Linked DNA regions of Coturnix japonica. The protein of the gene in region 1 purifies or fractionates together with the protein of each later gene. This does not show direct contact. Links are inferred from orthologs where the notes say so. Each region holds a gene or a part of one and is shown in the gene's direction. Other genes may lie near its edges.

What was found. Proteins that work in one complex are often made in the same cells at the same time.
Region 2: the proteins of NPHP1 (region 1) and NPHP4 purify together in Homo sapiens (co-immunoprecipitation; 6 studies listed by BioGRID and IntAct, with this or other methods). This does not show direct contact. The link is inferred for Coturnix japonica from reciprocal best matches to the Homo sapiens genes NPHP1 and NPHP4.

The regions. Positions count from the first base shown.
Region 1 is NC_029518.1:4,649,665-4,658,131, forward strand, and holds the start of NPHP1 (nephrocystin-1), read left to right. Parts: upstream 1-3,817; 5' UTR 3,818-3,919; coding exon 3,920-3,988; intron 3,989-4,172; coding exon 4,173-4,237; intron 4,238-5,414; coding exon 5,415-5,475; intron 5,476-5,896; coding exon 5,897-6,033; intron 6,034-6,186; exon of another isoform or gene 6,187-6,409; coding exon 6,410-6,617; exon of another isoform or gene 6,618-6,821; intron 6,822-6,918; coding exon 6,919-7,020; intron 7,021-7,435; exon of another isoform or gene 7,436-7,690; coding exon 7,691-7,779; intron 7,780-8,264; coding exon 8,265-8,307; intron 8,308-8,467. Other genes in the region: two pore calcium channel protein 1-like, read right to left, coding at 199-315, 553-681, 1,219-1,333, 2,975-3,057, 3,196-3,216; MTLN (mitoregulin), read left to right, coding at 3,137-3,535. UniProt on the Homo sapiens protein: Together with BCAR1 it may play a role in the control of epithelial cell polarity. Involved in the organization of apical junctions in kidney cells together with NPHP4 and RPGRIP1L/NPHP8. Does not seem to be strictly required for ciliogenesis.
Region 2 is NC_029536.1:572,037-579,825, forward strand, and holds part of NPHP4 (nephrocystin-4), read left to right. Parts: intron 1-801; coding exon 802-962; intron 963-1,539; coding exon 1,540-1,702; intron 1,703-2,891; coding exon 2,892-2,996; intron 2,997-3,100; coding exon 3,101-3,300; intron 3,301-3,370; coding exon 3,371-3,588; intron 3,589-3,750; coding exon 3,751-3,940; intron 3,941-4,093; coding exon 4,094-4,174; intron 4,175-4,290; coding exon 4,291-4,447; intron 4,448-4,743; coding exon 4,744-4,829; intron 4,830-5,615; coding exon 5,616-5,701; intron 5,702-6,030; coding exon 6,031-6,202; intron 6,203-7,123; coding exon 7,124-7,303; intron 7,304-7,789. UniProt on the Homo sapiens protein: Involved in the organization of apical junctions; the function is proposed to implicate a NPHP1-4-8 module. Does not seem to be strictly required for ciliogenesis. Required for building functional cilia.

The DNA.
Region 1 (8,467 bases):
TACTCTGCACTATGCTCAAGCAGCATCCCTGTGAATGTACCCTGTTCTCCATCTCAAAGTCTTGCTCCAGGTCATCTCAGAAATTCACTTAAAGGAATCTGAACGTTGCTGTTCTACATTCTACTCCATTCCCTCAGTTCTCAGAAAGCAGCACGCTGTCCAGAAGCAGGAATTCCTCCCATTAGATCCCTTCCTTACCTGGCGGCTCTCTGCAAAGTTGACCAGGAAGATGGGCCTCACTATTCTCGACCATCGAACACTCTTTATGTTGTATATCCTGAGGGCCCCGTATATGGCCAAATCAGTCAGAGACAGCTGTAGAAGAAAGAGGATCAAAATCCACAGAAACAAGTTTGGAACCATGTATGAGCCAATCCAGTTACCTTCACCATCTAGACCAGGCAGATACAAATACACCAGGTTTGTGAGAACAGGCTGATGCACCAATTGCTTTGGCCACGGCCCTCGTACAGCAGACCCCAGAAAGGACACAGCAGGAACAAAAAGCTGCCTCCACATAGCCCAGCTCAGCCCTTGTGACTCCCAGCTCACCAGGATTGCGACCATGATGCAGATGTTCTTGGTATCCTTCCAAAACACATTGCGACGGGTGATTTTGGCAAAGTGCATCAATCGGCCAAAGAACACCAGAAGGCACAACACCTCCACTGAGGAAGTGGCCTGCAGGCAGACAAGGGACTCATGTCAGGACTAAGAAAAGCAACTCTAGTCTTCTTCATACAGATAAGGATTCTCAGGCTGAGGTAGAGGCAAGACAAAATAAATAGGGCCCATATAAAAGTCTCGCCAGTGAGTTTTGCTGCTGGCTGTTCCATATGCTCATGCATTGGCAATAGTTGTAGGCTTCCTTTTGTGGAATTCCCTGTTGAGTGCAGGTTAGAGCCTGCAACTTTGTATTTGGTTAGGATTTAAGGAATACATTAATCACAAGCATCGGTACAGAAAAAAACAAAGGCTGAAGATATGGAAGGGAGCACTGCGACACAGCCCGATCAAATCAGCCACTGTGGATGGATGTCCATGGGACCCTATCTAGTTTCTATGCCCATTTTTGTCCCCATTCCAGCATATGGGAAGTATGAACAGGAAGATCAGCAACAACCACCTCTTTACACTTTGATAAGGTGTCTAAAGCATGAACCATTGAGTAGCACAATAGTAGCTGCATTATCACTTCTGCACTGCCTGGAAACTCACCAGGAAAGGGAGTGGATACACAGCAGGTTCTTCAAACACTGCAAGGGAGAGGTTGAGAAAGATGAAGAAGTAGGTGGCTGTTCGCATAAACCAGTGGTTATAGAGATAATAAAGCCTGTAGAGAGAAGGCAGAGGCATCATAAATAAGGGGTTCAGCCAACATACCCATATGGTGTCCTGGAAAAACAGCACACACTTCCCAAACAGTAAAGGAAGAAGGGTGCATCAACACAGATAGAAAAGGGAAGTGTGCAAAAGTTTCTGGCAGAGTAAGCTTTTCTATGTACACACACAAGTCAAGAAGTATCCTGTCCCCTCTAGCAAAGCCTCTGATGACTGCTGATATTAATCATGAACACATCCAGCTCTGTCGTCCACAGGAGGCTGCAATAGTGGCTCCTTTTGGAGCACATCCACACAGAGAGCACCAGGTTTCTCTGCTAATTGGTAGGCTGCCTGCATTGCCAGGTAATCACCTCACCTGCCCAACCATCACTCCAGACAAAGGTACAAGGCAGGTGATAAAGTGGATGACAACGCTGTCCTTAACAACAGCACTAAGACACCACCACGTAAAAACTGTCCAACTACTCAGCAAACACACTTGTGTGGTACAAAGCCCCTGAAGCTCCAATAGCTAAGCTAAGAGAATTAAAAGTGGGACTGATGTTGTACCAGCAGCTAATTGGGAGAGTCAATATTACAGGCAAAACAGCTTTGGTTTTGGGAATTTCATCTACCTGACTGCCCATTAACAAGCTGTTAGTGACTGCTTGCTTCTAGCAGCCACTGTCCTTGCTAAAAAGCACCTGAGCAGAGTCACCACAAGCTCGTAGGAGTAGCTGAAGTGTTGGTGCATGTGAGCTGTTACCCCCATTACCAACCCAGCTGGCACAGAGCCGTTCTACCTGGCTACCAGAACCCTGTAACTCACACCCCACGCAGTCACACTCCAGCACTTCCTTCCATGCAGGCAAGCACTGAGCTGTCCATACTCATTAATCTCTGCCAGCACTACAGCTTCATTTTGGTTTTTACCTTCAGAAAAAGAAAAGAAAGAAAAGGTTTAATTTGTCTTCCCACAAGATGCAATGAGTTGTATCTAATACACACATCCTGGCTTCAATTCAGCCCTTTACAATCCCACCCAAGAAGGCCACTTAGCCTCACAAGTGCTATTCAGCTCAGCAGACACAGGCCGGCTCCCCCTAATAGAGAACTACTGAGATTGGAGAAGTCACAGAATCACACAGAATCACAGAATGACCCGGGTTGGAAGGGACCTCAAGGATCATGTAGTTCCAACCCCCCTGCCTGGCAGGGCCACCAAACATACACATTTACTAGATCAGGTTGCCCAGGGCCCCGTCCAACCTGGCCTTGAACACCTCCAAGGACGGGGCATCCACAACCTCCCTGGGCAGCCTGTTCCAGGGCCTAACCACTCTCTTAGTAAAGAACTTTCCCCTAACATCCAACCTAAATCTTCCCTCTTTTAACTTAAAACCATTTCCCCATGTCCTGCTATTATCAGCCCTTTCGAAGAGTTTACTCCCCTCCTGGGGAGTAAGTCCTTTGAGATCATTAAGCCCAACCCGACCATACCCCTCAGTGCCACATCCCCACCTGCAGCTCTCTCAACCCCCAGCACCTCTCAGTGCAGCCGTGCCTCTGCCCCACTACTCGTTAGGAGAAGGAACCCACCGCAGCCCCCTCCCAGGCTGCCTGGGGGAGCGGAGCCCTGCAGCCCCCTTACCTGACAGCCTCGGGGGAAGTCTTAAAAGGGATATTTCTGTTGTATTGAGCATCAGAGACAAACGCTGCAGCCAGCAGGAGCTCCTGGGGAGGGGAAGAAACACAGGTCAGGGGGTGCTTGGGGAGGGGGGCAGAGGGCGATATCCCTGCCCCGCAGGCGGGGATGGAGCACACGCCGCCCTACACCCCGTGCCACCTCCCAGCCCGAGGCGAGGGCTCTACCTGCGAAGCAGCCTCAGCCATGGCCGGGGAAACGCTTCACCTCCCGCCGACCCCGCGGCATTTAACGGGCCCGCCCCGCCGGCGGAAACGGGAGGCGGAGGAAGGGCCGGGAGGAGGAGCGGCAGCCGCAGGGTCCGCCCGCAGCGCTGCAGCCACGTTCCCGATGGTGCTGGATGCGCTGAGGCCCCGCTCGGTGCGCTGGGCGCTGCTGGCCGCCTTCGCCACCGGTGTCGTGGTGGGCTGGCAGGCCGCCCGCGCCCGCCGCCGCTTCCTGCGCTGGAGGCAGAGCCGCCTGCAGCGCCGCTTGGACGCCGCCCGGCAGCAGCTGGAGGCGGCCTGACCCCGCGCCGCCCTGCCCGGCTCCCGATCGTACGGCCGGAGCCACGCGGACCCGCCGCCCGGCGATGCCCGGAGCCAGCGCTGATCACACGGACCGAACCGACCGCACCGCGGGCTCATCGCTGCCGTGGGTGAGGACACGGCGCGCAGCGAGCGGCGGATCCCGGCGTGACGGAACGAGTGGGGAGCGGGGAGACGGAGCAGCGCCCGGCAGCACCAACGGGGCATTAAACGGGGCATTAAACGAGTGTGTGTGTCGGACTCGGTGTGTTCGTTCCTGCTGTGTGTTCATACTCCATACACTCCATATCCTCCATCCCGGCCCACGCTCGCGGCGCTCCCGGCAGTGACGCCATCTCCCAGCGCCGCCCGTTGCCCAGCGACCATGACGGGGCGGCGGGCGCGCAGCCCACTGCAGAGAGTGCAGCGCCAGAGCAGGGAGCTGCGGGCGCAGGTATCGGTACCGGTATCAGTATCGGCATCAGTACCGGTATCAGTATCGGTATCAGTATCGGTATCGGTATCAGTACCGGTACCGGTATCAGTATCGGCATCAGTACCGGTACCGGTATCGGTACCGGTACCGGCAGCCGCTGGGGAGCCCTTCCGGCAGCTGACGGCACCCCTCTGTGTTGCAGGTGGAGGCGCTGCGGGCAGAGAGCGCGGGCGCGGCCGTGGGGCAGCGGGAGGCCTTGAGGCAGAGGTGAGCGGGGCTGCGGGGCGCCTGGAGCTCGGTACCGGGGATGGAACGGACCTTAACAACCATTGGGCACCAACCCCCGCCTTAAACTGCTGACCCCAACCTGACCCTGTTGCCCAGGGCTCCATCCAGCCGTGGGCACCACCAGGAGTGGGGCATTCTGTGTTCTATGGGCAGCCTGTGTCCGTCTCATTGCCTCTGAGTGAAAATTCCCCTTAACGTCTAACCTCAAATTCCTCTTTGTCCTGACACTCAGACTGTAAAATTTGCTCCCATTCCTATTTATGAGTTCCCTTGAGGCACCATAAGGCCGCAGTGAGGTCTCTCCGCAGCCTTCTCTTCTCCAGGCTGAACGATCCCACCTTCCCCTGCTGTATCAGCTACACCACTCAGCGTGCTGTCAGCAGCACACTCAATCCCACTGTCAGAGTCACTGATAAAGATGCAGAAGTGCACATCCAAAGACAGACCCTTGTGGGACACCACTCATCACCTGCCTCCACTTATGCTATACCAGGACACAGAACCAGCTCTCTCTTGCTGAGGTTCAGCCTGGGAAGTCACCAGAGCCTCTACTTAATGCAGTGTTACCTGGTCTTTGGGGCATTATGGAAAGCAGGGGTTCAGCTTTCATAGTGCAGTGGCACTCCTGCCTTATCCCCGAGCAGCACTAGGCTACAGCAACAGCAACAGGCTCCCTCAGCACCCTGCCCAGTGCTGGGTGTGGGCAGTGACAGCAAGTGCCTGTGAAGTGATGTAGCACGGGTAACCACACAGGTTGTCTGAAATCCTCAAGGCTGAAGTTGTTTAAAGCAGGAACTTGCACATCACAGGTAACAAGCAGTGAAGCTGCGCATCCCTTTGTTCTTCAGGGATTCTTGTGTGAATGATTGACACCAAGAACTTGTCAGAGCCAGGAGATTATCTTATTTTGTCCCTCTGCTCCAAATCTGCTGCTGCTGCTTCTTGAGTTTTGTTAAAACACTGCTTCTAAGGACACACCAAACGCTTGGTTTATGAATTACAGACGGAATTAAACTGGTCTCTTTTTGTAAAGCTTTGTGTTCATACAGCTTTGAGAAGGTATGGGCATCTAAACATACGCATTTAAGTGATTTTGTGATTCAATATCCCGTCAACCAGATGTAAGGTAACGCTGTCTGTCTTGCTTTCAATGCAGGTGTTTTCAGCTGCAGAAACTGGTGGACGAGAATACAAATACTCTTCGTAGTTTGAAAAAGGTAGGTATAGAGACTTGCTAATGGTTTTCCCTGTAACATATTGTGGTAAATATTCAGAGAATGGTAACCTGCTTCAATTTCAGATGCCTCAGGATGAAAGTAATGCCTAGCACCACATAACCTACGAATGGGATCTCTGAGATTAATGTATATGATCTGAAAGCATATTCTTAATGCTTTGTTATGCGCATTAAAATCTTTCTTGACCCAATATATTTAAAGGTGTTTATCAACCCACTCCATTGTGTTGGGAGAGGAGAATGTAGTTTGAAAATGTAGTGTGAAAGTTCATTTTGTTGAAGTAAAAGGCAATAAAATATCATAAGCAGGGAGTTATCACTGCTGTGGAATATCAAAACTCATGAGATGTGTCTGTAAAACTGTAGAGAAACACCAGGTTTGTTGTATTTTCCTTCCTCAGGCTGACGAGCCTGCGCCTGTGGGGAATTACGATCAGAGGAAAGAAGAAGAAGAAAAGCTGTTGCTAAAGCTATCCCAGCAGCTGCAGAAATTTTGTCATGTCTTGGATAAGGACAATGCAGCTACAAAGGACACGGTGTAAGTAACCCAAACAAGCATCTGTACTTAAATAGTGTCATACATACAGCACTGGAAAGAACCTTCAAAGACTGCTTATCCTCCTTATTAGTTATTGCAAAAGAGCTGGCTCTCCTGGGGCTTGTTTTATTAATGAAATCAAGAGAGCCTCGCTGCAGTTTTCCGAGGATTTTGTTTAATGGCTGAGATATAACGTAGGTTGTACTGTGGTCTGTATTCTTAGGGATGAAAAACCATTTCAGGTCAGGCCAGAGTCTACAAAGAGATTTCTGGATAACACAGGGAAGCCCGTGTTGTAAGGCTTTAACAGCAATTAAAATATATATATATATATAAAATTAAAAAGTGAATAAAAAGTTTGATTTATTTTGGGTAGGAACAAGGGGAGTCTGAAAGATTCTCGGAGAGAACACAAAGATAAAGAAGAGGATGAGGGTGCTGATGACAATGGTGAAAGCAGTGAGGAAGAAGAAAGTGAAGAAGCAGATGAGGAAGATGGGGATAACTTGGATGATCCTGATGTTAAAGAATGCATTGCAGTGGGAAGCTTTAATGCACAGCAGGAAGGGGACCTCACATTTACGGTAAGCAGGCCCATAGAATTGATTGCCATGTTGGTGCTGCGGGTCATTCTGTATTAAGTGGTGGCAATAATGAAATCCTATGCTTTTGGGATTCAGAAAGATTTGAGGAAGAAAGGCTTCCCCCAGTCTGCATTTCCCTTACTGCAGTTCAGCGTTCTTTTGCCTCTTTCTGTAGCAGCAGAATCTGTGGCTGTAGTCTGTGACCTGTGAGAGAGAACAATTGAATTGTTATTCAAATCGTGTTTGGTGTCATTTTGAAATATTTGGTTGTCTTTTTTCTCCATCTCTCCTAATGGCAAAGAAAGGTGAAGTCCTGCTTATACATGATAAGAAGGCGGATGGCTGGTGGGTAGCCGAGAACTCAAAAGGGGAGAGAGGCCTCGTGCCTAGGACCTATCTGGCGGTTAGTGTGCTGCATGCGGCCTCCTGTTCTAGCCTCACCTCTGTAGTGCTATGTACATTAATCATATTGCTGCCTGAAATCGGTCACAGTGCTTACGTGTGCATGCAGTGGTATTTTAGTGCTGTAGTCTGCCACTAAAGATCAGCTCTGAAGGCTCCAAGCTGTAGTGGACTAATCCTTGCTTTTCGTGATTCATGTGAAGCATCAGTTCATGTAAAAGCCGGGTTGTGTTGGTGATTTGATGGGAAAAGACCTTTTTTGAAATTGATTGTTAAAGTTTTGTTCCCTCCCCCTGTTTTTTTAATGGCTTACTTGTGTTAGTATGTTTATTCTTGGGCATGTATCCAGTGTACAGCTGTGATGGACGTGTAAATGTGGGTACACAATTTGGCTCACTGAGCTCTGCTAGACTGACCTTTACGCAGTGGAACAGCACTTTTCAGAACATAGGGTTTGTTGGGTGGCTCTTTTCTTGCTTAGAATGTCTTTGTAGGAATAGTCCAATCCCCTGCTGTAGCTGCAGACCTAAGGGCAGAGTTGTTCAGTGACAGTCGTTACAGACAGATCTCCTCTTCTAAGCCATTCACGTGTGCTGTGTTTGGAGAAAACATTTTTAAGAGCACAACTGTGAAAAAATCCAGCACTTATCCCTTCTGAATCTGATTTATAGGTCCATAATGAAGATGAAAGCCAAGAGGAAAGTGATGGACACATAGAAGTGGTGGATGAAACAGCAGATGGAACTGAAATTAAAAAAAGGTAAATGGAATGATGCAAAGGCAAATAAGTATAACGTTGGCCAACTGCCACCCTCATAGCAACCACCAGGTGCTGGGGGTGCCAAGGCCTTTCCCATCCTGTGGTGCTGCCCTGGTGGGGGTATCTCTGCTGCCCTCCATCCACCCTCAGTCTTCTTTGTCCAGAGCTGAGCAAAGGCCCAGCTTCCCGCCTGCCCTGGGCTTCCAAGAGCCTGGGCCTCACTGACAAAAAGTTCTAATGGAGAAGCTGGAATGGACTTTCATGCTGAACTTCAGCCCTTCTTCCTGTCCAAACCAAAATCTGCTTCTCCACAGGAACAGCTGCCTCTGTCACTTCTCTGCCACCACCTGGAAGCCCACCCTTCCTCATGTCACCTCATGTTTCAGCTCATTGGATAATGCAGCAAGCATGTATTTAGTGTTCAGATTTTTGTCCACATGACTATAACATGTTATGAAAGAAAAATCTTTCTTTTTTTCTTCCAGAACAGACTCTCACTGGAGTGCTGTAAGAAAAGCTATCACAGAGGTAGGGTTTATCTCCTGCGTATCAATATAATCTATCTTAATGTTAATTATTTTTAAACAAGATTTGACTTTTAGTAATCACCACGTCTCATAGTATAGACCGTTGTTTCTAATGAACACCAGTTCTTTTTCATGGGCGTGATTTTATTTTGTTAACAGGC
Region 2 (7,789 bases), on another chromosome or scaffold:
CATCCTCTTTGGGATGGAGCAGGAGGGCTGGGAGAGAAGCAAGGCCACCCTGTGTGGGTGGGAGGTTGGTTGTGCAGTTGAGGGTTGAGGTCTCAATGGTGTTGCATATAGTTCATCAAGTTGACTTGTTCTTTTTTTAGTGTATGGGCCGTACTGTTGTGTTACTGTACAAGGAAAAGCCACCTGGGAGGTTTAAACAACACTTAATGGCTCAATTGGCATTTTTGTCAATCAGATTTAGGCATGCCTCCAGGCCAAGGGAATGGACTGCTATCTGCTTTCATTGCAAACCTCCATTAGTTTATGTGGCACATAATTAAAAGTGTTCAGAACGTCAAACCGTGAAGTCAGACATCAATAAGCATCAGTGACATGATCCAGACACCAGCACTGCTGACTGCAGCCGGGGCTGAGCGCGTTTAAAAAGGGAGGCAAGGCATTAAAGCCAAGTGCCTGCAGTAATCTCATCTGATTCTCTGAGCAAAATGCTTCGTCTTTCTCTTTGTGACTTATTAAATTCCTGTCCCGGGAGATGCTTTCAGTAAAGCTCCTTCCCCACCTGGAGTTATTGATGGCAAAGAGGGGTCCCATGCAGGGGTCCTACCCAGTGTGATTGATGGGGTTAAGCTGCACTGCACAGAATAGGAGGGTGCTGGGGGTGGGCTCAGGTGCTGTCACACCATTCTGGTTCAGCAGCAGCCCCACACCTGGCTTTCCATGCTCCCTGTGACAGCATGCTTGTGTGCAGGCAGGGCCCAGGGGATGCAATACAAGCCTTTATTGCTGTGCTGTTTCTTGCAGGAGCCCCAGGGCTGCAGCTGAGGTTTGCGGTGGACTCCACCTTCCTGAGGCCTGGGGAGCAGCGTGTCTTCATGCACTACCTGGCTGAGCACAGCCTGCAGATGGACGTCTGGGATGGGGACTCACTGCTGCTGGTCGGCTCTGCTGCTGTTAAGCTGAAGGTAAGGAGCCCTTCTCCCTCAGCCTTAATGACTGCTAATGATGAGGGAGAACTGCTTAGCATGCAAGAGTTTCAAGACGGGTCTGACTCTTCCTTCTGTCCTGTGCCGAGATGCTGTTAGATTACCCTTGAGTCTTCAGTAATCAAGTTTTTATCAGCCACTTTGTTTAACGGAGACTGATGTCAATCTGACAAGCCTGTAATCACAGGATTTGTCATCTTATCCTTGAAAGCGACGGCGGAGCATTAACTTTCTTCCCTGGAACTTCTGTGCCACGCTGAGGCTTACTGGATAGAAAAATTAAAGCAGGCCTAGGAAATGCAGAGACATCTTTATCCAGATCTCTTAATCTCTTGGATCTGAGTTGCCCCAGTAACTAGTTACCCGAACGCCTGGCTGTTATCTTCCTGGGGAGAAGCTGCAATGAAAGAGCTGCGTCTGGGGCAGCCTGGGAAAGAAATGCATCTGCTGAGAGTGGGAGATGGGTGTGTGTGATGGGGCTCTGTGCTGTGATAGAGGCACAGCAGCCTCTATCCTGCTGGAGGTGGGTGCTGCCCTATCCCTGCTTCCTCTACAGCCCCTGCTGCGCCAGGGCCGGCCGGCTGTCAGGACTCTGCATGAGCTGGAGGTTGGCACCACTGTATATGAGCAGGATGCAGCAGCAGGCAGGGATGTGCTGCGACCCCTGGGTGTCCGTGTGGCCGTGCGGGGCCGCCTGCACCTCTGCCTGGCCAACATTGGTGAGTACCCTCTGGAGCCCTTCATAGTGTTGCAAAATGTTCCAGAAAGCAAAAAGCTTTTCTGAGATACCCAACAGAGGGTGTCAGCCCTGTGACTGGGGGAGGCAGATGCTGAGCTTGGAGGCATGGAGCGCCCTGATGCTCTGCCCACCATCCCCACCTCCTGCAGGGTAGCACTGAGGCTGATGGATGCAGGCAGTGATACACAGGTGGGTAGCAGGGATGGGATGAATGGCAGAGCAGCCTGCATCAGAAACCAGAGCTGCTGAGGGTGTTATTCATCCCGGAGTGCAGCGGGTATTTTGTTATATTTAATTCACCGTCCTATAAATGTGCAGTGACTCCAGGTTTTAAACTCTTATCTTATAATGGAGCTAATCTTTCTTCTGAAGATATCTTAAATTGTCATTTTCCTACTTTGCCTGCAAAAGGATGATAAGCTCCTGGGAGGGGGGATGTGAGATTCACAACCCAGAGAGGAGTTTAACTCCAACCTGGCAAAAGAAAGGGGAAAGGAAAAACACTCCATTCCAGGACAGCAGCGGCCCTTTGGTTGCTCTGGCCTTTCAAAACACTTGTTTATTTTCCTTTTCTTTAAGTAAATTCCAACTACCTTCAGTTGGTGTCTGAGGGCTCTTGGTGCCTTGGGCTCCAGGCATGAAGTGGTGGTGGAGCAGGTTTGTGGTTCTGAAACGTCACCAAGTGAGGATGGAAACCTGAGCTGGTTCCAAAGGTTGACATTAAGTCACTTGGACGTCCCCATTGCTGTTCAGTAGGAAACTGCTCTGTCACTTAGAGAAAAGATAGATGGAGTGCAATAGCAATAGGATTCCAGAGGGATCATCGTGAAATGCAGAGAACATTGTAAGCAATGAGATATTTGCTTCCACTTTTTTAAACTGTCTGTAAAGATCTGTGGTGGGAATAACATTTTCCGGTAGATTTTGTGACACTTTAAGAGATCTATGACAATTTAAGGGGAAGAAAATGTTGGGATGTAAGTGCCTGGTAATTCAGAGGAGGTGGATGTGTGCTGGCTGTTGTCTTTCTGTTGGTTATCACCAGCACTGTCTGCTCCATGTCCTGGCTGGCTGTAACCTCCTGCTGTTACTACATGCTGCTGGTCTGCATAGCCCAGCACTCCATCCCAGCCCTGAGATGGGGCTGACCCCAGGCTCTGCCCCACCAGGTCACCACTGTGGGGAGACCCCCGTGAGCCCTGGCTGCCCATCACTGCCCCACACCCACATTGTGCCCTCTCCAGGCAGTGGCCATGAGCTGACCCTGCATTCTGGTGAGTCCTTCTGGGGGTGCTCAGCCCCTCCCTGCCATCCCCAGACTGGGGGGTGCCATCCTGCCTCGCACAGAGCTGGTGACCTGAGTGCTGTGTCCCTGCAGATGTCAGGGTATCTCGGCCCCGTAGGCTGGCTGAGGTGGATCCTGAGCTGGCTGCCATTCTGTGGAGGCACCAGCTGGAGCAGATCCCAGAACGCTTGTGTGAGTCTCATGAAGCCACAGCCATCCAGCAGCACGAGCCGCAGTGCTTGGCGGTGGAGCAGCAGCAGGATGGTGCTATCTGCAGGATCCCACAATACATGGTGAGGACAGGCCGGGTGCTTGGCACAACCTGTGCTGCCTCTGGGCTTATTGTCCCCTTCATCCCTGCAGGGCTCCATTGAGCAGCACATGAAGTACCTGCAGATCGTCAGTGCCTACCGGGAGCGCGTCAAGCACCGGTATATCACCCAAGTGCTCAGACAGGCCATGACCACCACCTACACTTTGTATGCCACGCTGGGGACGGCTGAATTCTTTGAGTTTGTCCTGAAGAACCCCTACAACGTCCAGCAAACGGTGACGGTTGAGGTTGATCACCCCGAGCTCAGGTAGTGGCCAACAACCATCTGTGTGTGTGTGTTTGTGCTCATAGTGCCCGTGGGGTCTGTTCACCATCTCCTGTCTGGTTTGGAGCTGGACCTTTCCCAGCACACATCTGTGGTGATGGGGTGGTACGTGCTGCCAACCAGCTCCATCTCTCGCTCCTCCAGTGTCATACTGGACCCGAGGGAATGGCGGCACTTCAAGGAGCTGACCCACACAGCCACCCCGCTGGAGGAGGACATGTTCCACCTGCGGGATGACCTCAAGCCTCAGGTCTACCTGCGCCCCGAGGAGACCGTGCACATTCCCTTCCGATACCAGACGTTCTCTGCAGAGCCAGTTGTTGCAGCATTGCTGGTATGCTGGGAGCTGCATCGTGTTTGGGTGCAGAGTGTGGTGACATTGCCAAGGAAACACTGCTTATGTGTCATGGGGCTTTTTCCATGACAAAACCAAGTGATATGGTTTTCCATGACAAAAGCACAAAACCAAGTGCTCTGTTTCCTGCAGGGGCCAGTGGGGCTGAGCAAGGAAGAGAATGCAGGGAGGATGCAGGAGGAGTCAAGGGCTGTGCAGATGAAGACCATCCAGGTGGGGATGCAGAGACACGTGGGGCTGCCTGCCAGCCCCAGCAATGGAGTGCTGACCTCACCATGCTGTTCCCATGTCTGGCACTGAGCTGCTCTGCCCTCCTTCCCCCCATGCAGGTGGCTTTCTCTGTGAGTGAGGGCAAACCCATTGCGCTGCTGCAGGTGAAGGTTGAGCCCCGGCCCCACGTGGTGGATCAGACCTTCCGCTTCTACCACCCCGAGCTGACCTTCCTGAAGAAGGCCATCCGCCTGCCTCCATGGCACACGCTCCCAGGTGATCCTCAGGGCTCTGCCAGCAGGTGGGGGTGGCATCCAGAGAGCGATCCGGGATGCTTTCTCTGCTTCTTGGCATCGTCAAAGGCTGTTCATGATTCTGCTATGGCCTTTGGGCTTCCTTGCTTGCTTTCTATCCATCTGCTTGCACTAATTTTGTACTCTCTTGAACCGGTCTGACCCGGTTGTTCTCCCGTAGCTCAACATAAGGGATTGCAGCTCACAGCTGCGTGATGGTGTAGAATAAAACATGAATAAAACGCTCTGTAATGTTACATGTGCTGTTGTCTCTTCCAGGAGCTCTGGTGGGGATACGGGGTGGTGAGCCTGAGGTCCATGTCCGCTGCAGTGACCCCAACGTGATCTGTGAAACCAAAAACATGGTACCACTTACACTCCTATGTCGCTTTGTCTTGTATCCTTCTGCTGTGGTTTCTTGTTTTAATCAACCCGTGGCAGCATCCTGATTTATCGGCCTATAGGGATGAAATACTGGCTGTGATTAAGGCAGAATTGCCTTCGGTTCCAATTGAAACAAGCTGCATTGTTTTGGTATCCGATGCTTCATGTTGTGCCTGTTTTACTGGAGAGTAAATAGTTCAGGGTTGGTTCCAGCCTCATTTCCCTCCTGACCTGGTGCAAATCAATACTGGTGTCTTCTTTACTATGTTCCTCTTTGGATCAAGCCCTGAAAGGTGCTTTGTGTGTCTCCCCAAACACCGCTCCTGTTTTGTGCTTCCCTGTGAGGTCTGCAGGGCTCTCTTTCTGCTGCTTGAGATAGAAGTGGAAATGAATCTGTGTGTGTGTGTGTATAAACAGAGGCAGTGGTGAAGGGTAGTTACTAATTTCCAGTGCATGATCCAATGGTAATTGGATTATGGCTTGTTAGGAAACTTAGGGAAAAATTGCCCAAATTTGATTACAGCTGCAAACCTGGAATGCAAGAAGTCGTTTGTGTCCTCTTTTGTAATTAAAAACACTGGAAGAGCTCAACCAAGCTGTATGATAACTTAATAACGTGGTTTTTAACTAGATCCTGAAAGCATCTGCTGTTGTAAGTGGGTTGGTGTGTTTTTTTTTCCTTGATAGAAAGGAAACCCTGGAGTCCTCATTAGCTGGTTTGATCTCCAGGTTAACCATCCTAACGATGCTCTGATTTCTGTGCGCAGGGTCCTGGGGAACCACAGGACGTCTTCTTAAAAGTAGCTGGAGGACCGAGCCCACAGATCAAAACATTTTTTGTTGCTATTTATACGTAAGTAACAGGAGCCAGAAAGAAGAGAAGGGACCACCCCGAGCACAGGCAGAGCAGGAGGAGCGTTTCCCATCAGTGTTCTCTTGCTGGTTCCCCAGCTCTGCTTGCTGAGCTGGGCAGGAGGCTTCCCAAAATACCCGTTTGCTTTTCCAATCTCTCTTAAATAATGGTGTGAGTGTAGGAGATGGCCTCTCTGTCTGCAGGCTTAATTCATTCTCTCTGCATGAGCAAGGCTGAAATTCCTTTGGAGACGTTTGCCCAAAGCTTGAGGTGCTCTTGGGGCCGAATGCACCAAGTATGGACTGTGCCATTGCTTTGTTCTGCTGCAGGGATCCCTGGCTGGCCAAACCGCAGCGCATCTGGCAGGTCTACCTGCATTCCCTGCAGCGTTTGGATGTCAGCTGCACTGCAGGGCAGCTCTCCCGCCTGGCCGTCCCGCTGCGCGGCACCCGCACCCTGCGCAGGGTGAAGGCGTTCTGCTCCCATCCCCATGAACTGAAGGTAATGCCATGGGGGTCCCTGCTGGGTCCCCTTGGGGGCTGGCCTGGGTTGGTAGCACTGTGAGCCTTGGAAATGCAATGGGTCCCGTTTGGAGTTAGGGAGAATGTACTGCCTTTGTGATAATTACCTCTTGATTAAAGCTGTCATGTGTAGGATCGTCGGTACAAAACCCCAGAGGGCAAATTATCTGCGTTAATGAGACTATCTGAAGACTATTAATTTCTTTTAGAATTCATTTAGTCATAATTGTAAATGGGAGTAATGAAAGGAACAAAAACTCCCTTCCTGTCCCATAAATAAAGGAAAAAAATCCCAGCTATCAGAGGCTGCAAGAAGGAACGAATCCCATTGAGGATGGGAGCACGGAGGTGTGTGCCATTGAATCCAGGCTTGGGGACTGCCTGCAGCCCATCCCATACCAGCATTGTGCCTCGGCTGTGCTGATGTTGGGTTCTGCTGCAGTGCTCAAAGCGAGCAGTGTGGGTAGGAGAAGATCCCTGCAGCTCTTGGGAAAGTGCTGGTAGGGTCCTCTTGCTGTTGGTATGGGCACTGTCATGCAGCCAGATCTTCTACATTAATATAGATGGGATTAAATATTCCTATCATAGGTGTACGTTCCTTAGTGTAATCAGAGCTCATTTGTATTCTGAGCTGGACTTCATGGAGGTGCAGATTCCCTCCCAGCTGTTCCTGCCATGGGGTGCCTGCCTGCCTTCCAAAAACGATCTGCACGCCGTTTGTCTTCATTTATTCCTCTGCTCCCTCTCAGGGGGGGATGCTGGCGGCAGCTGTGAGCGATGCTGATGCTGTCTCCTCACTGAGGACACCCTCTGTTATGGCTTTTTGTGACTTGTAGCATCGGGAACTGAGGGAGGAGGTTCTGATGGGCCCTGAGCTCCTTCCTCTGCTCTGTGTTTGCAGGTGGACCCAGCAGATGCGTTCTTCCTGCCCTCCAATGGCCTCGTGGATCTGTTTGTGGGTGTGAGGCCGCTCCGGGCTGGCAGCAGATTCTTCTACCTCAACCTGGTGGATGTGGAGTGCCACCAGCTGGTGTCCTCCTGGCTGCTCTGCATCACCTGCCGGCAGCCTCTCATTTCCAAGGTACTCACGGGGAGGAGGGTCAGCATGGTGACCCCATTGGGCTGGGGGCTGTGCCATGCTGATAGCCCGGGGCTGGCTGCTGCTTATTGCTTCATCTACACCCACTTTTGGCATGTATTCTCCTCCTCTGTGCATGAGGAGGGATGTGTGCTGGGGGCTGTGCTGCTGTGCTATCGATTGCCAGCCGAGCGCTTGGTCTTCGTGCAGACGCTGCCATTATTCCCAACTGTCACGAACAAGGATCCTAAAGCCAATTTCTAAGAATTACTGACAGATTAGAGATTAACTGTCCTCTTTGAGTTAATCTCCTAAAGCGGTATTGCAGTGTAACTCTGGGTCACTTGTCTTTACCTGCCACAATTGCAGGATGTGTGTGGACTCTACCCGTGCTGCCTGTTCCTATGCCCATTTCCCCACCTCTCTTAAACACTGGAGCACATGTTTAGCCTTCTAGTGCCTGAATAATCTCACTGAAGCCCACCGTAA